4 linked regions of the Oreochromis niloticus genome follow. The protein of the gene in region 1 purifies or fractionates together with the protein of each later gene. This does not show direct contact. Links are inferred from orthologs where the notes say so. Each region holds a gene or a part of one and is shown in the gene's direction. Other genes may lie near its edges.

Region 1 (7,728 bases):
GTGCCCCAAATTAGGCCTGAAAAAGACCACATCTGTCCTGAGACTTTCGTGAGAGAATCTGAAACAGCTCATTTCTAATTCTTAGAGCATATCATTCCCAGTGATTCAGATTCTCCTCTTCATGCATGCTGGTACTCTGGTCTGTTTCAGGTCCTGTGCCATGACCCCTATAACTTTTATACAAACAGAATAATCTCATAACATGCCAATCCAAACTGACAATCATAATATGATTTGCATTCCACAGCTGCCATGATAGCAGTCCACATTTGAGACTAGTTTCAAACATCTTAATTTAAAAGCTTAGAGTCAGAAATCGTGCTTATCCTTTAGCTGGCCTATTTGTAAGCCCAGTCTTTATGCATTAAAAGTATTATGATGTCACTGACTGGGTCCAGAATTATACATACATAAATATGGGGAAAAATGAAATAAGAATACATTAAAAAAAGTCTACATTTTGAGTCACATAATGATATAATTTTAGATTTTGGATAAAAATCTATATATCAAGACATTCAAAATATAAATTAAATAGATATAGACAAAAAATATTTCTATAAATACATCTTGCCTGGAAGGTTAAGGATAAAATAGAGAACTATCTGCATCGTCAAAGGCAGAATGGACATGATAAATGGTGAAAACATAATGACACTGCTTCTCTGTTCACCCATTTCCACTTGCAGCTATGTGTTCTTTTTGTAATGGCACTAATTAAGCATTGGAAAAGTGTGAAAAATGCCCCAATTTAGATCCTGTTAAATGAAAACAGGCAACAAATTTTCCCATCTGCTCACAGAGCTCTTTGAGGAACGTTTCCAAGGTGTAAATCAACACTTTTGAATACAAGCAGAGAGCCATATGTTGTTGTTGCTGCTGGATTTACAGTGAAGCCTGGGTGAAAAGAGCAGCTCTCCGACTCTGATGCAAAATAGCTTTGATTTACAGCAAATATGTTTTTGAAAGCCGTATTAGGAAGTCCACAAATTTTTCTTTATTTTCTTTAACTAATTCTTAAAAATATGGAAAGTTTGCATTGTCTTTGATGATGTTTTTTTAAATAACACACTTGCAGGCCAGTTACCTTCCGAGATACAAAATATTGCAATTCGAGAAGCAGTATAACAAACCTCTGACTGTTTGACCTATTAAAACATTTTAGCCTTTGAACAGTTGTGTATGAGCCGAAATCAAAGCATGACTTGTGGCCGACTGAATCCAAGCACTCTGCTGAGAACTGATAAGATGGCACACATTCAAAGTCTAGTGCAGATTGCCATATTGAGAGGAAAGAGGAAGAATGTGTTTATGTGTCTGTGTGCGTGTGTAATGTCTAAATATGCAAAAATCTGGGTTAGCACCATAACAAATGGAACCGAAGATATGAGCAGGCAGCAGATTACTCGTCCTTCCACTCTCTGACAGCTTGAAACATCATTTCAAACATTCAGTATAACGCAGAGAGAAATAGATAAATCACACGAGGAATGTTTTACTTTTAACACGTCGATGGCTGACTGCTTAAGAAATGATTTAGGCTGTAAAGGCTACAATGGCATTTTTCTCACTGGAAACATACAGTACGTTATCATAGGAAATACCAGGAATTTTGATAGAGGTCAAAAGCCTCTGAGGGTGAGTGGAATGGGGCAGAGGTTGTGAAAAATTGACTTTGATCATCAGTTGCGTTCCTGAGATATGAAGGCAAACCACTGGCTCCACAGGAAGCAGGGCGGTCCCCGAGTCAGGGTAGAGAGAACAACACAGAAATGCACACAACGACTCACAGTTGATTTATAGAGATCAAGCATCATCACATACACATAAAAAATGAGAAGCAGGAAATGTTAGGATTACCCCTCACAGCAAGCCAGAAGCCGCTACTGCGTGTCATTAAATGTTCCTGTTAAAGGGAAGTTTTTCCTCCCCACTGTCGCCGACTGCTCACTCACAGGAGATCGTCAGATTCATGATGGTTGAAGTTTTTTCTGAAATAGTGAAGTGTCTTTGCCTTACAATATTAAATGCCTGGAGGCACTTTACAAAATAAATGCCTACATATAAGTAAAAACAAAATTCCAATGACATAAAACTGAATAGGAAAAAACAAAAACTGCAAACACTCATTCTGCGTGCAGTACATTTGTTTGTTTTTTACCACATAATGCAAAATTCCCACCGCTACTGTAAATGAACAAAATCTTTTGGCACTGTGTGTCAGACAGTAAAACATATTCCTTTGTAGTCTGAACAAAAAAAGGGTGAAAAAAGATCAAAGTATTTTTTCAGTTTGTACACTGAATATGAAACAAAACTCTGACTCTGAGGTTTGACTGTTGGCTTTATTCTCCAATTTGTTGGTGGAACAGTGACATCAGATGAATAGAGCTGCACTTATGCACTGTACTGACTTTTGAACACAATAATCAATATTTAAACTTTGAGAATTTAGTGAGGAATAAAATATTTGACTATAGTGGGGTCACTCCATAAAGTAGGGACTATAAATCTTACCCATTTATCCAAATGTGGATGTGAAATTCTCTTATTTCAACTGCCTGAGTGGAAATCTTGAGCGGGTTGGTAAGGACATTACTTTTAGTGACCTCCAGTTCATCCCATGTATCATTACCTCAAACATTCTCTAACATGCTCGTCCAAATATCTCCTGCGTTAGTGCGGTCTAAAGTCCTTTCTGCATGACTGCGGATTTAGCTCTCTTATAAGGAGGAACAGGTGGGCTGGATGAGATTGTAGCTTTTCTTTTTTATAAATTTAATAATAAAGGATGTGCTCTGACAGCTGAGCAGACTCACCGTGACTAGAAACAGAAATGCTGCTGCCCGTAGCCAGACTCCTGAGTCGATATTAGACCCAAGCTGCTAATATATCTTTGGGGCTTTTTATCTAAACTGCTCAGCTACTTGGTTTGATGGACAGTCAGTCTCACTGCTCACTGCCAACCGCCATATTTTCTGTGATCACATTCAGTGCGTTAGCATGGAAATGGTTAACAAATTCACATTCCCTAATGAATAAATTCTGATGGTGATACTAACTCTGGTGAGCATTTCTGCTACTTAGCTCAAACTATAGCTGCATGCAAGGATGACAATCAGAAAGAAGAAATATTTCTTCTTTCTATCAACTCTGACTAGTCCTTTCCTTTCCTTCCCAATGTCACCAAAGTGCTTGCTCATAGGGGGTCTGTATTTGTGTTATTATAGGATCTACCTTTTCATATAAAGTGCCTTGAGGTGACTGTTGTTGTGATTTAGCGCTATATATATATATAAATTGAATTGATTTGAACTGAACTCGTCATACTGGACACTGCATACCTGACATTTCAGTCCAGAGCCAGTGTTCAGTATGAAAACAGGAAGTAGAGTGCCTCAGTGTTGTAGGGTCGAATGAGGTGACGGGTGGGCATGTCATGTTTGAAGCATGTCGTACCTAATTTACAGCTTGTTTTTTTGTGAGTTTTTTTCTATGAACATATATTTTAGAAGCAAAAATTTTAAAAGCATTGAGCACTTTCACCAACACTCACTAACTGACTCTGTTATTAGGGTAAATTTGACACATTTTTGCAGCCCGAAGGATCTAAGAATAGAAAAGTTGTCTCTTCAGTTTTTATCCATCCATCCAGCAATTTTGTTATCTGGTGTGTAATCATCATTAGGGTCTTTTGGGGGGGGGGGGGGGGAACCAACCAATCTGAAGAGGTCTCAGCTGTAATTATGGATCTCTGAGAGTGCTCTGCCGCCTTGTGTGATATGAAAACTAGTGAAGTTTTTCCTAAGTTGCTTTTCATTCAATGCATGATTCAGTACTTCTTATTACGAAATATGAAAGAAAGAAAGTGCTACTGAATTTGCACGCACCTGCAGGATGGACACTTGGAAATAGGCAATCATTTGTTTCAATCTAACATGATGTAGATATCACTATCAGCGGGGAGCATTCAGCACGCAGGAGAGCAATAGTCCAGTACCAGCAAAAGCTAGACACTGTCTTCTATAAATATGTATGTGAATCCACACACCACAGCATCCTGGTGTGGTGTGTTTAGGTGTCGTTGATTACTTTTCGCCAAGACATGTTTGAGATTCATCCTGGAGACATGTATTAACTGTGTGTCACAACACGCTCTGTTGCTACACTAAACAGACCGGTAGTTTTGGGTTGATCGTTTTCCATGCAGGGTTTGTTTGGCCTCTCTGTGACCCTGCCTCTTGACCTTTCCTCTCCTCTGGGCTCCCTAGTGTTTGTGCAGGCCCGTCTTTCTACTTCAGCTATGCACACCAGGCCTGGAGAAAGCAGCTGCAGTGTCACTGGGAAGCTTTACCACTTTGCCTGAAGGCACTCGCATTTTCACACCAGGGGTCAGTATGGCTTGTCGGTGCCTGGTGGCAGTTTGGATGATCTCAGCGATGTGGCACTGTTTTATGCTTATAGCATGAAAGAGAGGCTTATTCTGGTGTATGATAAATAAATAAACCTCCAACATGTGTCCTTTTGCTTTGTTTTGTTTGTTTCTTTGGTCAAACTTTATTTGCCTATAAGCGCATCTTCATCACCCTGGTGATAAAAAAGCACTGGAGCATTTAAGGCTTGTACACTTGCAGCGGTCATGCAGAATTCGTGACCACATATACGCTCTCTGGTGGAGACTGTGAGCCCATCATTATGTTTTTTGTGGTGTGGGTGGAGCTGTGCAGTAGGTTCAGACCTGCTGTACCAGCTCTGACTCTGGGATTTGTTATGAAGGATGCCAGCAGTGGAAACCCGTCGCATGGAAGAAATATGTTTAAATTTACCTAATTTGTTTTTTGTAATGATATTTAAAAATGGCATCCAAACTTTATAGTTTATTAAACATTGTGTACATACACGTTTAAGTGAGTTTAACACTAATCACGAGTCAGTCTTTGTGGATGTAGTTTTTACAGGGTTTTTTTTCCATCGGTTTTATTTTTTATTTTTTTATTCAGTTTAGTTGCTTTTTACTTTCCCTTCGCTTGACCCGTGACAAATGCTGACAGTGTGAACGGCTGCTTGGCAACCTTACTGGAAAGACAATGAAAGGAGACTGAGAACGACGCGTGTCACACTGCTTTCTTCAGAAAACTTACTCCCTTACTTCTCTTTATGGCGTTTCAAAATGACAGACTCTAACTTGAGGAACGAAAGCAACCATGGGCTGTTTTTCACTTCTTTTAATGGATCTGTTTTGGACCAGATGTTACCAAATGACAGCATCACCACATGCAGGAACTTCACAATGGACTCACAGGTTGTCGGTGTTGGGATCTTTCTCTCCGTTTTTATTTTGGTGGCAATTGTTGGGAATATTATGGTTATCCTGTCTGTGGTGTGCAACAAACAGTTACAGACCGTCACAAACTTCTTCATTGTCAACTTAGCCATAGCAGACCTCCTGTTGGGCATTATTGTGCTGCCCTTCTCTGCATCTCTAGAGGTGCTGGGATGCTGGGTGTTTGGCCGGGTTTTCTGTAACATCTGGGCAGCCGTGGATGTGCTTTGCTGCACGGCATCCATCCTCAGCCTCTGTATGATCTCCATCGACCGTTATATCGGCGTGAAATATTGCCTTAAGTACCCAAGTATTATGACTGAGCGAAAGGCAGTGGCTATTTTAGTCCTAGTGTGGGTATCATCTGTTGTGATCTCGGTCGGTCCGCTCCTGGGATGGAAGGAACCGCCGCCTGTGGACGAAAGCATCTGCAGGATCACAGAGGAGCCGGGATACGCGCTCTTCTCCTCGCTTTTCTCTTTCTACCTCCCGCTCATGGTCATTCTCATCATGTATTTTAGGGTGTACGTGGTGGCCCGCAGGACTACTCGGAGCCTGGAAGCGGGAGTCAAACGGGAGAGAAATAAGTCGATGGAAGTGGTCCTGCGGATACACTGTCGCAGCGTGCTGGAGGACGCGCGTCCGTCGAGCTCAAAAAGCAGCAAAAACCACCCGTTTCGAAGTTCGCTCTCCGTGCGGCTGATGAAGTTCTCCAGGGAGAAAAAGGCTGCGAAAACCCTGGCCATAGTGGTGGGGATGTTCATCCTCTGCTGGCTGCCCTTTTTCTTCTTTCTGCCAATGGGTATGTTTTATTTATTGATCTGTTTTATTTTTATATCATCGTTTCTCAGCACTTCATGCTGGGTCATGAGCTGGGTCCTGCGTAAAATAGGATTCAGTCTGTTGCATTTCCTCCAGACTCCTGCAAAAGACGGAGAATATGACTTCTTATAAATGTTCCTCTCCTAAATGCGCCTTTAAAAAGTTTCTATCTTTAAGAGCAACAAACAAGCCTGTTTCGGGCCTGCTATGATTTATGATTTTACTCCTGAACTGATCATGTGTGAGATGCAAATCGGTCCAAAGTAAAACGTTCTGACTAAATGGGTCGTGTTCAGTATAAGAAATTGACACTGTGATTGAAACCGTTTGCGTCTAAGCAGCTCCTCTTGACAGCTGCACAGACTTTTATAAAAGACTCAAAATTATGGTCGCAAAGGAAGCCTAAACGCATGAAATTCCGTGAATTTCAATTTAAGAAAACCTTTTCAAGCTGTTGATAAACTCTGTAAAATCAGCGTTTGGCATAACAAAAGAAGAAAATTGCGTGTTCTGGTTTTGATACGGAGTTTATTTTGGGAGCTATGCCAGGAAGTGATGAAAATTAAGATGCTATAATGCTACAAAAACAAATTCTTTTGTCAGGAAAGGTCAGCTCTGCAACATGACCATTAAAGTGGTTTGTTTTCATGCCTGTAATTTTTCCATGACTGTAATTATTCCTTCATATGGCTAATATCACATTTTTCAAAGAACAGTCATAACAGACTGACATTCTTCACTGATGACCAGTTCCAGCCGGCTACTTACCTTGGTAAAAACTCAGACAGGCATGATTTTAAGGAATAAACATTTATGTTTTATTGTTGAGGATATTCATTAAGTTGACTACAGTACTGAGAGAGTGGGATGTAAGATTCAAATCAGGCAAAGAGATCCTCTCTTCCCCCTGCAGATGGTTGAAAAGGCCATCCGCTGAGGGTGACCAATTCAGTCTTTAAGGCAACACATAAATCAAACTGAACGAACACATTTTAGAGTGGAATCAAATGGAAATAGCTTTAAATTTAAAGACAAAACTGGACATAAATGAACAACTTAAAACACAAAAAGAGGCAATATGGATATTAGCAACAAAAAGAATGATTGAAATGCAAAACTGAATAAATAAAGCGTGCCTACGCAGCAGGATTCAGGCTAGACTAGAGTCACCTAGAGTTAGACTAACAGAGCTCTGGTGCCACATGTTAATGGTGGCACCACGGATTTTCATTTTGCATATATTTCACATAATTGATTGTGAGAGCCATTCAGAACAAATGGCCACTATCTTACTGGGCATAGCACTAACACAGCACTCTGATTCTTGCTGCACCTCTCCTTTTACAGACTGGAAGTATTAGAGCAAAGCCTGCAGGGACACACGGGGTGCATGAAATGAAATTGGTGCTACTTATCATTTTATTCACTTAATGGGAAAGAAAAGGGCAAGTTTATTTGTATGCCTAAGTCAGACAGATACTCCATCCTCGACGTGTGATTAAAAATGACAGGAATGAAATTTAAAGGTTTAAAATGCTAAAAGTCAGTACACATTTCATTACACACATTATTAATCAATTTGT
Region 2 (7,875 bases), on another chromosome or scaffold:
GCATGTCACACTGACAGCTGGCTTCTCACATATTTGCATAGCTTTGTGTCAGTCAGTTGTCCAGTTGCCATTAACTTAATGTCCCAGCCCCCTTTTCACCATTCAGCATCACACCACCCCCTTATCCATATGCACAAATCTCAATTGCAAGCTAACCAGTAAATATATCTGGTCTTTCTAATGTCCATCCAGCGTTCTGCTACATGTAGACAAGAACTGCTTTCCATTTGGGTGGAGTAGATCCAGCATCCTTGTGGTGTGCACGCTGACTCACTTACATGGCTTACTGGAACACAAATCTAATTTGTTTCAGCTGTGCTTTTCCTGTAATCAAAGTAAAAGAAAAAATATTTTTGCTGGGAAAAAGTTTTGTAAGTCAGTAGAAATATGAGAGGATGAGGAGGCGGGAAATATGAAAGAACAGGTGAATGGATAGACGGGCTCAGTCATGTAAGCCATGAAGGCACAGAGTGGCGATGAAACTTTGATTGAAACTGTATACCTGTGGTTTCTAATATAATTCAAAATAAAATATATTTACCAAAAAGAGTGTCCCAAACTCTCAGGAGTACTTGTTTTCTTTGCCAAACCATCATGTGCTGATAAAACTAAAATTAACCACTAAGTAACAGATCATTTATTTTGCTTAAACCTAATTTGCTGCTTATTGCTGCTTATTTTTTGTTTCTGTCGGACTAATAAGGTTTAACATCAAGTTACTGTGTATCAACACATAAACAACACTGAAGTGATATTACTGAATGGCCACACAAAATGTTAGAAATCTGAATTTACAGTTATTTTTTCATTGACTTACTATATTAACATAACTGATCTGAAATCACACAAAAAACATAAAATCCTTTGTTGTTTTTTACTGTAAAAAACACAGACATGTTTAGTAAATTATTTTCATAACTTGAAATGCAAATATAAATTTTAAATTTTGAAAACCTATGCACAAATTTTGTAAACAATAATGTTATATACAACTATTTATCTAAAAATGCAGCCAATGCACCTGGCAGTTTGATTTTTTGTATAACCATTTAAAAATACTGCTATAACGAAAATGAGAGAACAATCAGGTGTCACAATAAGATGACCCACAAATTATTTGTGCCAGTAAAAAAAATTGTTTGTCCGCCACAAGACAGAGGAGACACCGATAAACCCTGCAGGCCTGACAACGGGTGTATCACTCCACCTGGAGACAGTGTTTACATTACAATCTGCCTTTGTCACATTCATTAGTGCCCTCACTGACACACAAAACAAAACAGCGAATACACAGCACACTAACTATACACTCCACGCTAAACGTCACAAATCTCCCACATCTCAAAACTCGCTGTCGATATCGCTCTCTATCTTTGGTTCATGTTGTCATTTTTTTTATTGGTTAAAATCGTACATTTTTCCACCAGTAGGAAAGAGGTGGCTTTTTTTCCTTTCTTTACTGTTTTCGCGCTGTCCTTAGAAAATGCTTTTTAAAAAACAAAACAAAACAAAACAAAAAAACAAACACTTCTTCTGCACTAAACATATGTATTTTTTTTAATCATAACTCTAGATTTAGTGGCCTGCTATTAAAATTTAAAAACTGGTGTATACTTTGAAGTCCGAACTTTCAACACAAGCTTAAATAGAGACTCAGCGTGGCTGCAGCTTGTTGCTGTATCAGCTTAAATCAGTCAGGTGTGTCCTGGACCTCAGAGGGTTAATAAAACTCACCTTCATTCCATTTTCAAAGTGTGACAACCAACCACCTGTGTGAAATCTGAAATGCCCGTGGTGTTGATTCAAAATGTGCTCTGGCACAATCATAGGCATGGGTTGCTACTGTAAACAAGAAATAAATCCGGTTGGCATATGGGCTGAACCATTTGTTAATGGTGGAGGGGGGTTAACACTATGTAATATATTCAGTTTTATAATTTATATTTAGTGTTAATAATAGCTAGGTTCAAAGTGTTAATGCTGTCTTATTTTAATAAACAACTCTGTCATATGTAAAACTTGGGCTGTAATAGGGGCGGCAAAAAATCATTTTAGGGTGGCGCATGCCACCCCATGCCACCATTCTAGATTCGCCCCTGCCCCAGATCTGCGAGAAGATCCCCCAAGACACCAACTGTGTATCGTTAGGAGCCCTGACATCATCAGGTATGCACACATGCATGTGGGGGCCATACAAACTAACATCTTGAGTTACTGGACTACTGGTAATGGACTAGCCTGCTGCATCATTTTCCCCCCTTTGATTTGGTTGATAATTTTCATATCCGCCAAACAATGTGGCATCATTTCATTCCTAACACATTACTCAGTTGATATGAGTACAGATATCCAGCATGATTTTTCTTTCCCATTGAGATCTCAAGTGTTCATTTAATTCATTTGAGAAGCATATTTTACAAAATCCTGATCGTTTTTTTCTTGGTCTATGAAGAGCGTGTCCTCATTCTGTTTGCAACAAGCACAAAGATGTATGTGCCACCAAGCAATGGTCATTTCCACCATGTTTTCCCCCTGTATACACTGTATATTGGAAAACTGACATGTCAGTCTTAAAGCAGCAAACTTAAAAAGGTTCTCTCATTGTACTCGATTCTCATTCCAGTTAAAACTAATAGATAAAAAGTGTATTGGTGAGGCAATATGATGACTATACATGTTTCTAAAAAGCTGAGGTAGGGCCATGTCTCTCACTGAGTCGCATCAGCTCTATAAGCTTTTTGAAAATTGACAGTGAAAGGTTTTGCTCAACAGTTAAGTGCCTCATTTGTTGTATGTTTCATTTCATAATGCACCAAATATATTAGTTTTTCCTGCTTGGCACCCAGACTGCAGGGCTCTGATTATACATGCAGAATGTGGTTTGGCATTGTCTTACTGAATTAAGCAAGGTCTTCCCCTGGAAAAAGATCTCTGGAAAAAAGCATTTGTCCCTCCAAAACTTGTATATATCATTCGGCATTAATGGTGCAGTTACAGAGCAAGTTATTCATGTGCATTAATGCCCTCCACTTCATCATAGATGCAGCTTTTTAGACTGTGGGCTGCCTTTTAAACTTATGGACTGATAGCAAGCTGGATGGTCGTCTCTTGTGATTTCCTAAAAGATATTTTCACATTTTATTCATCATATCACCAAACAGTTATCTCCCTTGCGTAGCTGTGGCTTTCAGAAGTGTCTCTGAGCCCTTGAAATGGTTTCCTCTATAGAATTACATGTATTAATAGGCCATACACAACAGCCATTCAATAAAATTTAGAAAATGTATCATCTCCAAATTCTTTTCACTTTTTTGTTGAAAAAAATGCTTTATTTATTTATAGGATTATGCATCTTTCCTGGTCTTTAGCTTCCTATTTTTCAACTTGTCAGCTGAAACATGTTGCAGCTGACAAGTTTTTTTAAACACAGCATCCATGCTTTTAGGGTAAAATAGGCCTAGTAGGGAGGATTAGCCTAGTAAAACTAGAGATGGATGTTGAAGAAAAGCTGAAGAGAGATGGGGAAAAAGATAAACCAGAGTGAGCTTTACGAATTAGTGTGTGTGTTTTCCCCCCTTGGTGCCATTGGTGGCCCTGAAGGAATAAATTATTCAATAAAAAGTCAAATAATAATAATAATAATAATAAAAAACAAAGCTCAAAACAAGATCGGGCCACACGTGCGTCACGTAAGTCTTCATCTGACTGCTTCCCCCTCTTAATTATTGCCAGAAAGCCAGTTCACAGACCCACAACACAGAACATGTGTGTTTGTGTGTAACCACACCTCTGTGCAGCTGCTCTCTGGTGCACTGAAAACAAAATGTGCAATCAAGTCGCCGGGCGAGGAGGGATATAAAAAAGATTTATTAACACCTTTAAGTACCATCACCTTTAAAAAGATAGCACTCTCTCTCTCTGTTTCTTTGTTTGTTTTGAAGGTCATTATCACAACAAAGATTGTACATTTCACGTGACAGCTCATTTCCATATAAAAGTAAAAATCGCTTGTAGCTCCTACACCTCATTAAACTAAAAATATTCTTTGTATTTCTGTTGCAGTCTCTTGTTCACAATAAACAAGTTAATCATGTCTTTGGTGCAGCTCAGTAGTAATGATCTGACATAGTTTTGAGGGCAGGCTTGTAGGGAAGCTTGTCTCCCACGCTGTACTATATATTTCCATAACTGAACAACTTTTAATGACACATTTTAACTTAATCCCACACACAAACTAATTGTGCACATATGGCACAAAACAGAGGTAAAATACTCTATATTAGCAGTCTGCAGCCAAGTCATACATTCACTAAATCACTAAAGAAGCTCTAGTATTTAGTATTTAAAGGCGTCACCGGTAGGTGTCGTAGCAACATTTCTAATAGTTTAGTGTGACACTGTGGTCTACTTCACCACGTTTCAGCACTTGAGCAGCTGTGAGTAAGATCCACAGCCAGACAGCTGCGGAGCTAAAGACGTTTACATTAAACATTTTCTTGTTCTCAGTATTCCAGCTTTTACTGAGATGCAGTCAGGAGCTGGTGATGAGATGAAACTGATTTTGTCTCAGCCTCACTGTCAGTCACTCACTAGACTTGAACACAGGGGTTAAGCCTGTGAAGAAAGGTCCGCCTGACCAGCGATACTCCGAGAAGCTCCGGTCACTATGCTGACATCTCCAGCTGCGCTCTCAAGGTCTAAGCTGACTGACTTTTTTTTTCAGCTTTCTGGATCGCGCATGATTGACAGGGCGTAAGGACGTCCTTTAGAATAATAGTAGACAAAACAAAGCCTTAGAGGGAGGCCTTCCCTGACAGAGCTTCAGAGAAAAACGTGCTCCCTCTCTTCTTTCGTTCTTCGAAACAACCCGCACAGACGCATTCCTGTACGCGCGTAAAACCTTCTCACTTCACCCACGGAAAAACGGGCTTTCGTAGAAGAATGGGACCCACTAGACACTTGGAAGACTGGAAATTAGTTCTAGTCATATAGCCTATTTGATTCTTCTTCTAATTAATATTATTTAAATATGTCTTTAAAAATCTACCGCCGTGGGAAAAAAAATGCCAATTTTCCGTGACTTCAGTTCCATCTTACCCAAGAGCGCACAAAACAAAAAATATTCTACTCCACAAATTACATTTTATTTTCCTGCCAGTGTAAAAGATTCGTAAAGCCAACTCTAACATGACAGTAGTGTAGGCACACATCATGGTAGTCTTGTCGGTTTGATGTAGCTGGAATGGATGAAAAGTGAATTTTTGCCTAATCTTCGCGGTGTTTGTTTACCTCTGCACTGGTTAGCGTGTTTTACAAGAAGTTGGGAAATGATGTACACATTTTGTACAAGCGGGATCTGGAGATGGGATCGGCTGACGGCGGGGGGAGGAAAACTCCACCCAGCAGATAGGATCTTGGGCAGGCAGAGCGGAGGGGGAGTTTGCGCTGAAAGAGCTCGGGCTGGTCGGACGGGACGCTCGATATAAGTCCTGCAGAAAACTTCAGAGGGGGCAAAGTCCAGCCCGGGCGAGAAGAAGATAGGGTGGAACTTGCGAGCGCGCTGGGAACTAAACCACATGTGATTTTTTACAGAAATGCTCCAAAGATGGCGGTGGTAGTAGCGACTGGAGTTCCGATTGGCTCTGGAGTGCAAAAAAGTGGATTTGTAGAGGTTTTGGTGCGAGAGCAGTGGCACAAAGTTTTGGTCAACTTGAACGAGGAAGCGCTCACGTTAAGCTGTGAGAGCAACGTTAACGAGAGTGTCGATGACAATGTCAACTCTAACGGCGTTACCAACGGATCTTACCATGACAACAGTAATACCAACTCCAACAATGGCCCCCAAACTGTGCGCACCGCGTTCACGGACCTCCCGGACCGGGTACCCGAGGCGATCGCCAACAAAAAGCGGTGCGTCAAGGTGACCAAGCAGGAAGTCGGGGGACTCGGGATTAGCATCAAAGGAGGGAAGGAGAATAAGATGCCCATCCTCATAAGTAAAATATTCAAGGGGCTCGCAGCGGACCAGACCCAGTCTCTGTATGTGGGGGACGCGATCCTGTCCGTGAACGGTATGAACCTGCGGGACGCGACCCACGACGAGGCTGTGCAGGCGCTGAAACGAGCCGGGAAAGAGGTGACTCTGGAAGGTAAGGCATACTGGAGAGGAGGCATGTGAGAGGATAAAAGAAATAGAGGAACACCTGAAAGAGAGGTAGAGGTCGGGGAACCTCCCATTGATTGAGTAGATTACGGGTTGTTTTTTGGAAGCCTCTGTGAATGTTCGTGCAAGTACAGATTTTATTTAGTGAAGGAGTGAAAAGCGTACCCCGACGGTAAGAGCTGAGTGTAACATATCCCACAACAGTTTGTGTGTCAGTTTCTCAAATGTTGCGTAATATTTTTGGGATGCCCATAAACTCACATAAAGACGTGAGGAGATCAGTGCTCCTTCACTGAATGACACCTGTAATGTCGGAAGAACCTCTGGCTCCACATGGTTGCCTTTTTAGACTTGGGTTTTGGGTCGATCAGGTCCAATAGACACGTTTTTTATTTTCTACTTTCCAGTTAATTACAGTCACTTGTCACTCACTTATTGCAGCAATAGAATGTGAAGGAAAAAAGAAAAGAAAAGGGAAAAACACAGCTTCCACTTTGACCTCTGCTGTAGGATGTAATTTATTTTACATTAAAGAAGAGAGGTGCTGGTTGTTATACCCGGGAAAGTAAATATTATTCCAGCAGCTGATATTAATTCACCCTGTTTATATCAAATTAGATTGCAGTCATCCGAGTCTTGAACAACACTGGCATTTGGTGCTGTTTTATTACATAATTTGGAAACAGGTTACAGACTGATTGCTTTTTGCAGAAAAGAATAATTGAGATTAAGGAAATAGGTATTATGCAACTAGATGTGCCATGGGACAATCATGCAACATCAAACTCATATCTTTTCCCTTCCTCTGGCCTTTTTTGCTTCCTCAAATGTGCAGCCTGTTCATTTTTTTTACAGTTGCTTTCAGCTAAAAGATCAAGATTAGGCTGTGGGTAGCCACACTGAGAAAGGTGAAGACACACACACACACATGCACACACATTCCTTTATACAGGAAACTGTTGCACATAAGTGCCTACTTCTCAGTTCTTTAATTCCTGTCCCTAAGAGGACTCTTGGACCCAAGACAATAAGAACAAAGTGTCACTCTCTCACTCTCACTCTCTCTCTCTCTCCCTCTCTCTCTCCCTCTCTCCCATGCACACGTGCACACGACTCTCTCTCATCTCAGATACACAAACACGGTGATCACCCTCCTCATGGGGACATGCTGGTCCCAGCTGAAAATTGTATCACGATCTGAAAGAAGGGCAGAGGAGATTGGAGCAGAGGAAGGTGAAGAGAGAGAAAAATGAGGGGTATAAGAGCATTTAATGGGAGACTGAGTGGATGAGAGACTGAAACAGAAGGACAGTTAACAAGAGATTTAAAGAGGCTGAAATAAAGATTACTGTGAGGGTTAGTATTTTCACAGTAACTGCTATTTAAGAGAGATAATTTGCACGTGAGAAATTGGGTAACACATGAAGGTGTTGCACAACAAAATGGCATCAATTAGTCAAATGTAAAGTAAAATCGAATGAATAGTGATATGTCAAACCTAAATATCAGCACCATTTTATTTTATTCTTGAGTGGGAGCCACCTTGAAAAGATTTGAGAGAGGCAGACTGTATCGTATAAGAAAAGGGATCAAGAGGAAACATCTGATGTATCTTTTAGGAGATCGTACCTGTCCCGTGGGAATAGAGTGTGTTAGTGCATTTTGTCTGCAAATGTGCAAAAGATTTGTACGTGGATGTTTGTAATCTGTGT
Region 3 (7,696 bases), on another chromosome or scaffold:
AAATCATAGCTGAATTGTGGTTTCAGTCCTTTAGATGTGATAAACAGGTGAAGCCCATATGCAACAACAACTGCCCCCAGGGTTTTTCCTAAGTATAAAGACAAAATTGGCTCCAGTCAGGTTGAATGGTGTAGAGAAGACATAAAAAGCATGATGTAAGACCCAGTGAAAAGGCAAACCTTCAATAGTAATCAAAAATAATGATAATAACAATAATAATAATAACCATGAGGAGTGAGGGGGAAAACAATAGAACAGAGAGCGAATAAACACATTACAAAAACAAGGGTCTAATCAAAACAGGAACCAAAATCTCAATAAATACTAAACAAGAATCCAAAGCTCAACAAAGCCAGGACCCTGACAGTATTAGCCGTCCACCAGAGGAAATATATTTTTAATTGGGGTTTAATTTACTCAAGCATAAAATACATTTTTGTTATTAAAAGCCAAAAACAGCAAGAAAATCCAAAGACATCTATTAAGTAAGGTAACACGGACACTGACCAACCTTACCTATGCTTCACAGGAGAAAGTGTGTGCCCTTGAGGAGTTTGCAAACTCGTCTCAACAACAAAAAGACCGAGACAGTGACATCTGCAACCTTTTCCACGTGACTGAGACCAGTTATCTTATCATGATGCTTCCAGAACAGCTTCTGAGTGAAGTAGCTCAGACTAAGTAAAGAGACTGGGGAAAAAAAGGGAAAAACTAAAAGGAAGACCATCTGCTGCTGAACAGCTGAGATGAATAATACACTCTGAAGTTGGGTAGGAAGGTGCTAAGGCAATATGTCAGTGGTGGGCTGAATTAGCTCTAAATCATACTGGCAGGGTGTATTATAGCCACAGAGGAGGCCCATGTGAGCCTCACTTGCAGTGCCATTTTTGCCAATGATGTTAGATAGTGACATTTCTTCAACATCATTAAATATCATTACATTTACTCAGCATTTTAATAGCTCTGTGTGGTGCAGATGCTTAAGCACTGCCTGGAAGACTGCCTAACACATAACAAGCCTCTACATTTAAACAGGGTGTTAGCCTAAAAAAAACATCCCTAACGTTATTAATTTAGACTGCTTGTTGTAAAGTGTGTAGAGTTAAAGTGGATTTATTTGCAGGTGCATCGCTTCTCTTCTCACCTTGTTGACTTGGTCGTCCTTCCCTGGATGGGAATCTGAGGGGTTCAACGTCCGGCATTGCTGCAACTTCCCCAAAATGTATTAAAAAGAACACATCGCTGACAATAGAGCAACTTTTCAGCGCACTGTAAAAGCGGGAGAGACATCAGTTAACCTTCATTGTCTAAGCTCAACCTGGATCTTTAGCTCCAAAAAACAGAAAAATATAATTGGTAGCTAAATATTTCTGTCACTCGGGTTATAATAGATTTAATTCCTGTCGTTGAACTTTGGGTCAAAGTTGCGCTAAGTGCAAGTTGATACCTTCACTCATCTCCGGATGCCGCTCTTTTAGCTAACGTTAAGTTAACGTTTAATTAACTGAGCTAATGACAAATTAATGAGCTGGGGGAGGTCGTTGTCATGGCACAAAGTGAAAGCGGAAAAATGAATGGCTATCAACTTACTTGTATTAATACGCTTCTGGCTGGCAGCCATCAGAGAACTGTCTTAAACTGTGATACTGCTCTTCTGAATTAAATACCTCGCAGCTGACCAGCAACAAATACAAGTTGCCCCTTCTTTAAAGTTTTCTTCGAATGAATCAACTGAAGTTGCTGTCAATCTTCTTCGAAGGTTGCTTAGCAACAAGGGGGCCCTGTACGCTCGGGAAGGGCGAGTTACGTTCAAGAGCAGCAGCTGTTTAGCTGCACGGGGAGGTCTCCTACAGTCATGTGAAATTAGCTACTTTTTTATTTTTTAAAAACACATTATTTTTCACAAAGGTGGGATTAATGTCAAATTCAACTTTTATTTTTTATGTTTTTAGGCGATTATAGGTACAGCAATCCTACTTCAGTAACCTATTGTCCAAGAATCCCACAGAAAGCGTTAGTTTTAAACACCACTCAGCAGCCATCTTGGAACGCACTTTGGAGATTTATTTTGAAGTTTCATATAAAATATGTGACCATTAAAACATTAACCGCTGAATTTATAAACTAACAGGCAAATCTAAAAGAAAGAAGATGATATCAAATCTGATAACGTTTGTTATGCCTATGAAGCCATGTGAATGTCTGTATGTAATATTGTACTATATATAAAAGTAAAACTGAAACGCACTGAATTAGCATCACTGCTGCTATGCTGTTGCCATATCATCTCTCTCTTACAATGTGTTTGGTTATTTTAACGATGAATAAACATTTTAGGACTTTCTAAAACTCTACACTTATGTACAAAAATGTAATCTTAAACAGTGTAATATTTTATTGTTGTTTTTTTTTATCGTTTTTTTTATTTTGTGTGTGTGTGTGTGTGTATGTGTGTGTGGTAATGGCAGGGTAGTGTCTTTATTTAGGTTTGGTCCCGGGTTTTCCTTTTGTTAATATTTTTGTTTTGTTTGTTTTTTTGTTTAATGATGTTTTCGTTATGATTCACATAAGCTCTGCCCTGAATAGCTCACAATCTTCTTCCAGTTACATTTAAAGACGTAAATACAAATTTAACATAAAGAAACATTACATATAAACATGAAAAACTAGAGTGCGAGACTATCAGCACAATCGGAACTGAAAAGATAAACGCTAAAGTAAACAAGAAACAAATGATGAAAAGAGCGCATGTTACAAAACCACATTAAAAATAATAGTCAAAAAGTAATCAATGGTAGTCTACCTACAGATATATTATTGCACTTCGGTCACCATTAACGCAACTATTTGTCCACTCTTGTTTTTATTAGGTTTGCACTTGTTTCATCTGCATGACGTCATCTTCTTTAAGCCACATGATGCCGAAAAGCCGCAACTTGCAAACGACCTCATGTATGCGTGTATATAAGACCACGTTATTATGCGCCATAATCTGCTCCTTTATGTTTTTAGCATCTTTTTAAAATATTTTGTTGTATCAAACTTTAACATTTTTGCTGCCACGCTGACGCAAGTGAAGAGATTCCGCATTACGTCATCGCGGAGGCCACATATTGGAGGCAGAAGCTGCCTTGTTCCGATCAGCCAGTGTGCGCTGCCTGAAAAACATTTTCTTCCACAACACAAGCTTTTTTTTCGGAGGTGCCGGAGAGCGGCTCGGGCACGGCCGCTTACGTGCAGCGATGCAGCAGCCTACACCAAAGAAACCGTGATCGCGCCCCGGGACACGACGACGAATTCGCGGATGGAAAAACAGTGATGTTGCATGGCATGCCTCGAAATAAATTCTGGTAAGTGTTGTGCAAAGTGCTGCTGCTGCAGTCGCGGGAGGAGGGAGACTGACGGGCAACGAGAGGAGCGAGCTTAACCCACTTTGCCCCTCCGGGTGAAATGAGTTTGGCAAGTTTTGGGTGATTTAAAACGGGAGATGTGCAGGTAGTGAAACGCGGATAATGGGAAGGAAGGGGTGGGGGTAGGTGTTCCTACAATAGTGAGACCTTTTGTCTCATGTCCACACAGGTGTCTCGAGTATGACAGGTGATGCATGAGGGCTGAGCGTGTACCACAGGGTGCCTGTTGCCACCCCACCCCCCAATGTCCTGCTACCTTTCTTAGGATTTTAGTAATGCTGCCCTAACCTCCACAGGGCAACATCACTGAGTCCATACCCAGAGGTGCATCTCTCTTCAGTGCAAATTTGTGTTTCCATGTTGGCTTTCACATTGCATAGTTAGACAGGCAACCATGCAAACTTAATCCCCTTGTTTGTTTTCTTGTGACATTACAGAATTCAAGCTTCTTAATTCATGCAAAGAACTCACTGGGACACTTGCTACCCATAAATCAGTGTCTGCGCTCTCTTTTAACGTCAGGGTCCCAAAGTTCTTCCCCTTTTTGCAGCTGAAACCATGGTGATCATCAGCAGGTGACAGAGAGCCCTCCCGGCAGACATCACCGGCTGGTACCAGGCATGAGGAGAACACCGTCTGACTACCTTTACTACACCACAGCAGAACAGTTGATTAACCTTTAGTCAGCAGTGCAGCTTTTCCCTCTTGTTTTTTTTTTTTTTAAATTCCTGTCTGGAGATGGGATTTGGATGCCAGTGTAGTTCAGTCTCGTGATATAAAAATAACTCTGGCCAATCAGTGGTAACAGCTGCGATGTACTGTCCCAAGCCAGCGGCACAGATTGGACTGTAACTCTAGTAAGTGCTTGTGTTTGGAATTGTTGCATGTCAGCCTGGTCCAAGTACACGGAGGAGGACATAAATTAACAGTGCTCTCCTCAGGTTTTTTTTTTTTTTTCTTAATCGCGCCGCTGCAGAAATAGAATCAAAATGTAAATAACTGACTAATAAGGCTTGTTTTGGTCTGATATTTGTCCAGCAGAAATGCTGTGCAGCGTAAAAAAGGAAAAGGGGGGGTGTGTGGGATAGAGAGTGGCAGGGCTAAACACGGCCAAGAGTCTTGCAGGAATGAGTCACACTAACTCTCTCTCTGGACTGTTAGTGGTAAAAGATGATTTGCTCTTTTAAGGGCAGTTATTTTCTAATACTTCCAGTGTGGCAGTGCCACAGAGAGTGAGTAATGTTTGCCAGGGCCAGATGTCAGGCACGATGTTTTGTGGGGGTCTGCAACTAGAGATCCGGCAAAGCTGTAGAAGAATGTGGCACCTTCTCATTTGTAGTTAAAGATAGTGACAGCACATGCTGTATCCTGGCTCACAGTTTCTAGTTTCAGATGTGTTCGGTTTGGCCCGTCCGCACGGGCCCGTTTTGTTTGAAAGGAGTTTGTGTCATGGACGGTTGTTTTAGGAGAAAGGTCGACCTGGCTTTGTAATAACTCTGCTCAGGAAAGGGGGGGAAAGGAATACGAACATGGTGCTTTATGAAAGGTAAGGTTGATCATGTCGTTCCCTTCCCCGCACTGGTTTAATATCAGCTCTGGCAATAGATTGTATCAATCTCAGTTATTTCCAAGAATGAAAACAGACCGCAGAAGGTCACGTAGCTGGCACTCTGGATGTGTTTGCCTGTGATGTGGCAAAGGGTATCACTTTTAATCTAGACAATGCTGTATATTTGTACACTTTTATATTTGCTTAGTCTGGAAGTGATAAATGGGATTGAATATCCATTGCTTTCATGATGACATTGGACTTGTGGCTGCTGGCAGTGGCCTGACATTACATTGCATCTAAAAGCGCTGTGGTTGTATTCATCATTCCCTTTAAATTGATGGGATTTATTATTTGCGATATTAGAGGGCAGCGTTTGAATTCTTCTGTGGCCGTTTTGATCTGTGCTCTATTGTGAAGTAATTTACTGAAATACTGCACTTTATCCTATAATTCCAAGTTAACTTATTAGCTTAATTCTCCCCTCTTGAAGTGGATTTCAAACATTCCTAGTGCTCCATAACTGACTGCCTGCACTGGCAAGAATCAGAGGAAGGCAAGCAGGAGGTGGGCCAGAAAACTGTGGTGTTGTTTGCATTTTAACACTAGGTGAATTCTAATTTCTGCACCACGCATCTCTGCAGCATAATATTTGGGTCTACCAATTACTGTCAGAGTAATTTGAAAAAGCATGCCTGAATGACTGTCTCACAGAAAAAGCGTTTTCAAGCCACTCGCCCAAGAAGTGTCACTGTGCGCTCAAGTATCAGCCCGCCGACCGTTATCTCATAAAAGATATTTACTGGTGAAAAACTTTTCTCTACAAACTTTGCTCGTCTGCAGTGGGAGGTGTTATATGTGTGTGTGTGTGTGTGTGTGTGTGTGTATGAGTGTGTGTTTTAACGAGTGAAGCGGCTAGGATCTTTGCTGCCATAGCAACAAAACCACATGACTAGGTGTATTAGATTGCCTCGGACAGTGTGCAGCGAGGCATGGTGTGAGCATTCTCTCTCTGCAGCTCTGCCCCTTTCAAACTCCTCTCCTTGTCCAACTTAAACATATTCCGATAACCACCGCACTGCGCTGCATTCAAGTTGCAGTTTACAAAATATGAATACTCTCAAATTTGGAGTATAGCATGATGTTATCACAGCCGGATTGTCCTGCAGTGGGATGATGGGGCACAATGAGCCGTGGGCCCCTTTTGGCTCCCTTTGATGTTTTTGGGTTTTTTTAAGAAGTTTACACACCGACAGCTCTTGTGATCATTTTTATCTGTTAATTTCTCTTTATGTAAGGAAATTAAAGAGCAGTGACCTTTTATTAGCCTTTCCGAACACAAAAAATGAGGGAACTGTGATAAAGTAGTTGAAGGAGTGTTGCTGGGGTTCCTGCATTGGGAACTGTGATAAATACATTAAACACTCTGTTACTGTTGGCATCTAAAGTGAATAACTGGCTAACCACGTTAATTTGATGAGTTCAAACTTCACCAGACTAAATATTAATAATATTAATATCCTGTACCAAATTTGGATGTTCTCAACCTGTTGATGAGCTCCTGTCAGTTGCTTGATATACCAAAACAAAGTAGCCATCTTAATACTGTTATTATCTGTGGTAAATTGGGAGCAATGCCTCATTATATAGTACGCAGGAGGCACTTAGCAGTTTTATGGTGAAGTGCACGAGAAATCTTCTGCTGTAAATGTCATAGTAAGTTAGCAAACTCAGAATTATAACATGTGCTTAACCTTCATGTCACGGATGGAAGTTTAATTGTGTTACATCTCTGCCATCCTTCCAGCAATCTAAAGCAGACTTTTTGGGCTATTTTAAGCTAAAAAAAACACACCTGCATTTAAGAGGCAGAAACACTGATTTTTGCTACTGACCTTGGTGCATATGCATTTCTGGGAGCTTCTTTCACATGGTGCAAAATATCGGTAAGAGAATGTTAAAATTGGGTGTGCAAACATTTATTAACATTTGGGACAGTTTTTTGCTAATTGCACTGATATTTAATGCTGAAAAAAGTGCAAAAAATAAGACATGCTTGTTATCAAAATTAATGATATCAAGCGATCGCTTGCAACTTATTGCGCTCATGTGCTCATTTAGTAAGTCTGTCCCCTTGTCTGGAATAAGTCAGGTGAAAGGCTTTTAGCCAACTTTTAGCTGAATTATCAGGATATCCACAACTGATTAAACTTTAGATAACCAGAACAGAGAAGCTGCGTTTGTATCAAGTTTAGGAGTCATTGCTTTAAAAGTCAAGAGTTTAATCTACTGCCATTATCACTGAGTCATAACGATGTGTGTCTAATGTTGATGTTAAGCTTGAGGAAGAGCACCCTGAGGTTGCGACTGCTAATGCTGAGGCACTCGGGTTCTGACGCTGTTTTCTCTCCTCTTGATCAGAATGATTGAAGACTGCGGGCAGAGCGTTGACACCATGGCAGATAGAAGGCAACTGTTGGTGGAGATGAGTAAGTGCTCAGGGCCGCAGCTCACTGTGATCTATGCTGGACTGTTTAACTCAATGACCGTAAAACTGGCAATTTCTTTCTCTCTCCCTCTCTCTCTCTCTTTCTCTCTCTCTGTAAGTTTCATGTACAGCAAATATCATAAAGATCAAGTGTCAACCACATTGATTTTTAAACACACAGGCCTGCAGTATGACCTCATGCTGTCTGTTCGCACAGTGTGAAGGCGCTAATTTAAATTTATTGGAATA
Region 4 (7,919 bases), on another chromosome or scaffold:
TACTTGTCACTCTGTATTGAGGGTGAGTGATCGCAGCTGAGCTAGCTGCTAGCCAGACAACCTTACTTGTAAAGAAAAAAAGAAAAAGAAAAAAGCCCCCTGGGCTTTTTGGGCTTCAACAGCTGACACTTTTGTAACAAGAAGTTTTCGGGGCACCTATTTGACAGGATCAGAGGGGAAAATGTGATGGAGACTGTGAGGCCTTAAGTCATATCATAAATGACAGTGTAGCCAAGACAAACAGGGACAGACCCAAATAATAAGGAAAGTGAGAAAGGATGAAGGAAGGGAGGGTGTTGGGCCTGTGTTGGCTCACCTCTGACCATGCTGACTTACGGTATACGGGTGTGACAAAGACAAAACAGACACCCTGTCACCAACACTTCAGCAGAAAATAGATTATGCCCGGCTTGCTATTGTTGTCCCTCCTCAGTCACAGTGAAGCGGGATTTAGACAGACTTGGCAGGGTGAGACAACCTCTCTATGGGGCGCACGCCATGTGGAGGATACCCTATGGCTCTCATCTTTGGAGTGTCAGCTCATGAGTGGCAGAAAAGCCATTTTCAGATGCAGCCAAAGAGCTTCATCTGTGACGAAGTATCTGTATTATCTCTCATCCGCTTGTGTCTCTGTGGTTGCTTACATAACGCATGATTAATTCGATCAAATGTAACAGGTCATTGGAGGAGAGGGGAGATTTATTTAGGAAAGATCCCATTCATCTCTCATAAAGTGGAAAACAGGGTGTATATGGTTATGTGAACACATCTTTACACTGTAAAAACTCTTGTAATTCAATTCACACAAAGTACTTTAATTTATCCAGCTGATGCACTCTGCATCAATGCTGATGGCCTCATCATGAGGTTATGCTTGGAAGATAAAAACGTTGTTTCCTGCTATTTTGTGTATGTCAGCGAGGTCAGTTTGATAAGAAATCCACAGTAATGGATTTATGATTAGTTAACAGAGTCTGGAGTCCATATCATGACAAATGTTGTGGATATAAATGCAGGTTTCTTTACTTTTTCTGTGTTTTCATTATATATAGAACTTTTCATGTTACATTAATGATAAAACTAATGCTATTCTTTCTGTTGTTACTTCAGAAAGTCTGAATCCTGACAGAAATGTAGAAACACACTTCTAAATAATTTCCACAAAATGGTGAAAATCTCACAAGGATGAATGAATACACAAAATGTCTTTAAATGTTCCACTCATTCATTTTATTGTACCATTTATTGCCTACAGGTGCAACCAAGGATCTCTGAAGATAGTTTTGTTAGAATATAGTAAATTAGAGAATCACTAGATTGAATTTTATATTCTACAAGAGTACTTAGGGGCTGATGGACGATGAAGAGACCTTCTAATATATTTTTTTAATATCTAATAAAATATCGTTCTGGTTTTTCAAACCCACAAAAAGGCATACTTTGCCACTGTAGTTGCAAGAGTCTACAAAAGCACACCTAATGAGTCTATAGTCATGCTTTTACAATTCCAAACTCCCAAGTGATAACAGCATTTTGCAACAGCTCACTGTGAATACTTTCTCCGAGCTCTTTCTTCAAGGTGAAAGAAGTGGGATTATCTTGGTGCGCACTTGCGTGCGAGAATGCAAATTAAACTAATAACCATTTATGTGTGTCATCTCCACACGGTCCCATGTGTTTGTTATTTCAAACAGCAGAAAGCATCTCTGACAAACGAGGCAGCCTTCAGAAAAAGGAGGGAAAAAAAGGAAAAAAAGGTGATCTGGATGAAAACAGAATGATAATGAGGCTATGTGAGGTGTCCGTGATTATGTAACAGCAGAAATGGAGACGCGGAAAAGCCGAGATTGCAGGGCTGGGGTGTCTGCATGCCACTTTGCTGCTGCCTGGTTTTGTTTATGTACAATTAAATTTGTCTTGTCCCCGAGGGCGCCTCCTTGGCAGAAGGATAACATGACCCGCTTCTTATTAGCACTTGTACTTAACTCTCCTTTTTATTTTGAACATATTAAAATGTCTTTCCAGCCAGTGTCTGTTATTCTCTGCATATTGTTTTCACTCAGGCAGTGCAATATCCTCTGACACCACCACACCATAAACACCTGGGATTAAACTCATCTAACATTACAGACAACTGAAACCTTTAAGCCGCAACATAACTATAGGTCACTTAAATAAAAGCAATGCAAATCCAGCTGAACAGCCAAGCAGGACACCTCACCTCAGCCTGAACTCCTCTCTTTCACAGAGGTCTCTGCGGTCACTGTATCGTGCTAAGGGGATGAGTTCAGCTGCAGGTCTCTGTGAAGGCCACGGCAGCTTTACGTGCAAGACCTAAGTTCATCTGATCAGCACGCTGTAGGTTACAGTTTCCCCCGGAGGACATGAATTTCTAAGCTGTGCATAACAACTGCATTAAGCTGCTAAGAAAAACAATGAAAAATAATGTTGTGCGAATGTGTGAGGAAGATTGTGATCACAAACATGCGCATTAAAAGCATGCTTTCATGCAGGCATGGGTTGTTTCCTCCAGCTGAAAATGTTCTACTGTTTTAAAAAATGCAAGGGGAAAAAAAATCCATCAACATTCCACCACAATCCTCCCTTTGAAATCCCCAAATTTCAATCTACTTATCCAGCAGGGGACTATGACTGAGTGCACTCATTTTACATCTTGTAGACTGCGAAATCACTATCTCTTTAGGCTCAGCAGTTCCCGTCCCAGGAGCTGTACAACCAGAAGGAATGATCCAGAGAGAGAGCGAGCGAGAGAGGGAAGTCAGCACTTCTAAAGCACGGGAAGAGACAGTAGCAGCTGTTAGCAACACAATCACACCACGCATAAGCATCTTTTATTTAATGAGCAATACCCTTGGACTGTGCGAGACGAACATACACATCAGGGGCTCCCTGCTTATGTGCCGTTTCAGGCAAATTGTCAAAATGGAGCATGCCTCAAAGAGATTAGAGGCAAAAGAGCAAATATTGAATATTCCAGAACAAATGAGATGCTGTTTAGAAAAACAAGCCAGTGTCACAGCTCGGATGTGGCGATGACAAAAAAAGGAAAAGGAAAGAAACAAGAACAGACACGCAACTGCGTTTGGTTCAGATTGTGTATTGGAAGCTATCCGTCTTGGTGATAACTAATCTATTTCAGTCAAAATGTTACAGGATGTATCATATTTCTTATCTCACTCTTCCACTTGAACTTAAATGCTGTGACCAGCATCATTTCAGCCAAAACAAGCTAATACACCACAATGCAAAAAGGAACCCGAGTGGAGTTTATCGCCTTATCAGCTGGAAAAGAGCCTCAGCGCAGATTACCAAGAAACATACAGATACTATCTAGCTGGTAGTAGAGCCATTCATCAAGGTGGAGCAGAACCTTGTCCACACAGCAGCCAACCTACTTGCATGCCTTCATAATGATGCATTGCAAACGTGTGTATTTGTGTGGGTGTGTACATGTCTGCTTGTGAATATATGTGTGTATGTGTGTGGAGTGAAACCAATGTAAACAGGGAGGGTTAAACTAAAGCATAGCTCTGGGGTTTTAAATAAATACTGGCTAGGCCTGAGAGTGGCAGACACATACACTCACACAAACACAATAGTTGTCTCCACTGCTGACACAAGAGTGCCAGCCAGCCACCATAGGTGATGATAAAGCAGGCAGCAAAAGGCGTCACTAACAGTGCCACGGTGCTTATAAGCCGTATCTGGTCTCTGCCATCTGCTGTGTTTGTAATGTGAATCGTTTCTCACCACTTGTCATCCACTGACTGCACTTGTAAAGTTAGAAATAGCTTCCGGACCCGCTTGAGGAAACTGAGAATTTTGGCAGTCGTTTGGTCGGCCTCGGATACAGGCAGCCACAAAGTACATTCGGTTCTGTTCTGCGGATACAAATCACCAGGTCACGAAATAAGAAGAGGCATCACAAGGATGAGACGTTTCCTCCTCATTTCGGAGTGTGAAAGAAAAGGTTTAAAGGTTTGTAGAATTCAAACATAGGCTGTGATCTGTAAAAGGACTGGACACCTGGGGAATTTGGGAAATACATCTGGGTAAGTTCAGTAGAGATACATGTTTTGACTCTCTCTTTTGGCCAAATAATGAAAACCAGGGGGGGGAAATGGTTGTAAAAGGAAGTCAGCAACACCTCTAACTGAAATGAATGTCATTAGTGATGCAAAGCTTTCATAACTAAATTTTCAGTCATTTATTAAAGTCTGCGTAAGAAATAACTGTTTTGATTGTAGGAATTCAGGCAGATCCGCTCGTTCCCTTTTGTTCCAGATAACAAAATGTCAGCGTTCAATGCAGTTTAGCTGATTACCACCAAAATAAGGAGGCAGAATTAAAACACAAGAACTTTACTGCAGGCTTACCAATGCAGTCACTCGAGATCCCTTTTTAGTTTCACAGCCTAGAGGACATCAAATGGTACATCATGAAAATGAATGTTTTCCCTCAAGACAGACAAAGGGTAACATTTGTAACTTCATAAGATCCCAGTCCATGTGCTTTAGTGCTGCCTGGTTTTAATTGGTATGTCTGGTGAGGCTTTCCAGAGGGAAAGTAAGGCATTCTCACACTCCAGGGGATAATATAGGATTCTGTGTCTCAGAGATCAAACCAGAACTGTGGTGTGAGTGAGGCAATGCCCCTTCCTCTCTGATGCCCAGAGCCATGAAATCTTCATTCATTTTCAAAAGCAATAAAAAAAAAAGTACATTTACATCAATTAATGATGCATTTCCCTTTATAATGTCCCTTCTTCTAGGCGCACTATAGATCAATTTGAAATGTAATTAATACTTAAATGACGTAACTGTAATTGCCACGTGCGTGAACACGTACTGTATATTAAAACATAAATAGCTCCCGGATCATCACTGTGCAGTGCACACAATGATGAACTGCTCAGCGCTCCCCACTTAAGCAGTCAGCAGTGAAAAGCCGACTGCGTGTGCGTGCTCTGTGCGTGGTTGCCCACAGTGGTGTGCTGCAGTCCGCTCCCTGCCGTAGTTGAGTAAAGTACATGGACATTAGCGGGCGCAGCGGCACAACCACCGAGCTGGAGTGGATTAAAACTGCGTGCGTGCGTGGAGAGCCACTCGACGACCGACTGCGAAACCCCCGGAGTGTAATCCCAAGTCCGTTACACCAGTTTGCAAATGCGAAACAGCAAAGCAGAGGCTCTCGGTAAACTCAGTTAGTGGCGTGCATTGTGTGTATGTGTGTGTGAGAGTGTGTGTCAGTCAGGGAGAGAGCGAGAGAGAGAGAAAGCTCGGCGGGAATGGCTTCATCTCCGTGCGGCAACAGTAACTTTGATTCCGGTCTGGAAATCAAAACTCGCTCGGTGGAGCAGACGCTTATTCCTTTAGTTTCGCAGGTGAGTACTCCGGAAACCTAAATCGTGACGTTTAGTTGTCGTATCCGAAGCCCTTGCGCTCTCAAACCACACTTTGACTTTACAGCTGTGTCGAGCACATGACACCGATTCTGTTGTTTACCTATTTGTGCACTGTGTCTGCAGTGCGTGCTTCCTTCCCGTGCTGCGTTTAAAAGCAGTCCCACGTGTGAATAGTTCAAGTTACGACACTGTGGTCGTCCTGTAACTGTTGTAGAAAACGGAAAAGTAACAATACTCAAAGTTGTCTTAAGTTACAAAGGTGGGCACAGCCAAGTCTGAAGAAAATAAGCTGTGGATACGCTGAACGGGTAACTAGGGAAGTTTGTGATTTACAGAATTACATAACAGACTAGAACAATGCAGGGTAGTGAAACTGTTCACACCCAGAAGACAATAAAATTAATTATGATGATGGTTCTTTATCTTTGTGAGGCGATCACAAACTCTCCAGGAAGTCTTCACACTCTTCAGAGAGTAGCCCAGAAGCCGTAAGAGTTTTCCCTGAAGTCCTCCTTCGCCACTCCTGAGCTGTCCCCGAGCTGTGGCTCTCTCTTCTCTAATTGAGCCACTTTAAAGCACGTGCTTTGTTTTTCAATAAACACGGGAAAATGAAGGACCCACTTAAGGCCACTGCACTCCTTCAGCAACTCTCCACTCTTGCACACTTTAACAGTCCCCGGATTAAACAAAACAAGGAGCTTAGGTCAATGAGTTAATGAATCGTTTTATTGTATTTTGGTTAGAAACTTGAGGCTGTTTGGGCCATTTTAGGCTTTGATTTGCATGACTATCTTCCGCTCTTGTTTCCAGCATGTCACAAAAAATGGGGAAGTCGTCTGCTCCTGAATAGGGAAGTGACCACTAGTCTTATAAATGCTAATATCCCCCTGTTTTGTAGGACAGGGTTGTGGTTTTCACTGGAAAGACAGTGGGAGAAATCAGCATCTCACTGCTGGGTTAACAGAGGCTGGATAATACCACACTGGGAGGCCCATGACACTGTTCCTGCTCCTCCTGTGCTCACTGACAACCTGCTTCCTCCCTCTTATTGCACAGGCTCATTTGAAAGATATAAGGTCATCCTGTCCTGAATAGATATGGGTTACTTATCAGAAAAGGACATCTGTTAGAGGGATGTGCTTTCCATGTAGTATGATAAATCAGAGCTAAATCTGTGCAAGTGTATACCGGTAGTGCAAGCAGGAGTTGGGGGAACAATATTCGCACTAAGTACTGCTGGAATAATGCGCAAAAGTGTACAATAAAAGTCCCATCCCTTGTGTTAGTGTAATATTTACAGTCCAGCAAACTTATGGTGCACTCCTGCCCGCTGAGTTATTGGCTGGGCTCCCGTCTGTAGAGGGGTAAACTGTAATATGCATTCAGCTTATTACAGTCCATAGAGGGCCTCAAGGACAGTGTTTCCTAATTTTCTTTTTTTCTCAGTGTAAGGCATGTCCCCATAGCAACAGAGCTCTGCAATGCTGAAAGAAACCACATTTTCAAGGACCGTCAACTCCATATGTAATATTTTGTTGTCGTTTTGTCATAAGAACAAGGTCACTGTTAACTGATACACAGGTCTTTGTGTGCAAAAATGCACAAAACTTTTTTGTTTTGTTTTTTTTAAAGAAATTATTCTGAGTATGAAATGATTAGTCTATTTTACAGAAGCAATAATTTTGACAATCTGATTCTGACAGTGGATGTTATTTGAATTTAGATTTTGAAACAAGACTTTCTCTCGGGGCTTAAGTCAGCCTTTTCTTCTGTTTGTGGAGATGCAATAGATTCAAAGAATAATTGCTTAAGGTAGAAAATTGTTTGTATGAGTAATCATGACCAGCTAGCCTTCATTTTCTGTCTAAAATGCAGTGAATAGAGCAGCAACAAAGCTGTTGTCTTGTCATAATTCAAGAAGGACAGTAAGCTTTATTCTGATTGTAAGGATGGTGACTTGCAGGTGTCATGATATGATAATAAACTGCTTATTGAGATTCCACAAGGAATGTGCAATATCTAAATTAATGAAAAAATAATAATTAATGGCAACAAAACAACTGTTAGTATTCTAAATACTTTTTCCAGTAAGAAACTGCTGTTGTAGATTACAGTAGGTACACTGGAAAATAACGGCTAATATATCTGCAAGAACTTCACCACAATTTACAGGAAAACAATCCTGAACGCTTGCTGTTTATGTGTTTTTGTGTGTGCACTGAATGAGAGAAGAAGAAATCTGTGGTTCGTATACGCTTTGTGAGAAAAGTCAGTAGAAAGACTGATGGTTAACCCAGCTGTGATAATAAAATTACCTGGCTTCAGGTGTGTATGATAACTTTGTTAACGCCCTTATGTGACATTTCTGAGAATGAGTATTGCCATACATGCGCATCAATTGAATTAGTGTACTTAGAAACACTGACTGTGAGGGCTGTGTTCTGCAGCTTGTCTTCTTAAGGAGCGTTGTATGTATGCGTGTGTGTGTTTGTGT

Evidence for each region.
Region 2: the proteins of adra1d (region 1) and sntb1 purify together in Homo sapiens (tandem affinity purification; 4 studies listed by BioGRID and IntAct, with this or other methods). This does not show direct contact. The link is inferred for Oreochromis niloticus from reciprocal best matches to the Homo sapiens genes ADRA1D and SNTB1.
Region 3: the proteins of adra1d (region 1) and dtna purify together in Homo sapiens (tandem affinity purification; 4 studies listed by BioGRID and IntAct, with this or other methods). This does not show direct contact. The link is inferred for Oreochromis niloticus from reciprocal best matches to the Homo sapiens genes ADRA1D and DTNA.
Region 4: the proteins of adra1d (region 1) and ctnnal1 purify together in Homo sapiens (tandem affinity purification; 3 studies listed by IntAct, with this or other methods). This does not show direct contact. The link is inferred for Oreochromis niloticus from reciprocal best matches to the Homo sapiens genes ADRA1D and CTNNAL1.

Annotation. Positions count from the first base shown.
Region 1 is NC_031971.2:20,780,766-20,788,493, forward strand, and holds the start of adra1d (alpha-1D adrenergic receptor), read left to right. Parts: upstream 1-4,727; 5' UTR 4,728-5,170; coding exon 5,171-6,125; intron 6,126-7,728. UniProt on the Homo sapiens protein: This alpha-adrenergic receptor mediates its effect through the influx of extracellular calcium.
Region 2 is NC_031976.2:8,169,981-8,177,855, reverse strand, and holds the start of sntb1 (beta-1-syntrophin), read left to right. Parts: upstream 1-4,858; 5' UTR 4,859-5,605; coding exon 5,606-6,149; intron 6,150-7,875. UniProt on the Homo sapiens protein: Adapter protein that binds to and probably organizes the subcellular localization of a variety of membrane proteins. May link various receptors to the actin cytoskeleton and the dystrophin glycoprotein complex.
Region 3 is NC_031982.2:18,410,479-18,418,174, forward strand, and holds the start of dtna (dystrobrevin alpha), read left to right. Parts: upstream 1-4,694; 5' UTR 4,695-4,939; coding exon 4,940-4,956; intron 4,957-7,380; coding exon 7,381-7,448; intron 7,449-7,696. Other genes in the region: ccdc178 (coiled-coil domain-containing protein 178), read right to left, coding at 1,145-1,202. UniProt on the Homo sapiens protein: May be involved in the formation and stability of synapses as well as being involved in the clustering of nicotinic acetylcholine receptors.
Region 4 is NC_031985.2:23,066,710-23,074,628, forward strand, and holds the start of ctnnal1 (alpha-catulin), read left to right. Parts: upstream 1-4,913; 5' UTR 4,914-5,308; coding exon 5,309-5,404; intron 5,405-7,919. UniProt on the Homo sapiens protein: May modulate the Rho pathway signaling by providing a scaffold for the Lbc Rho guanine nucleotide exchange factor (ARHGEF1).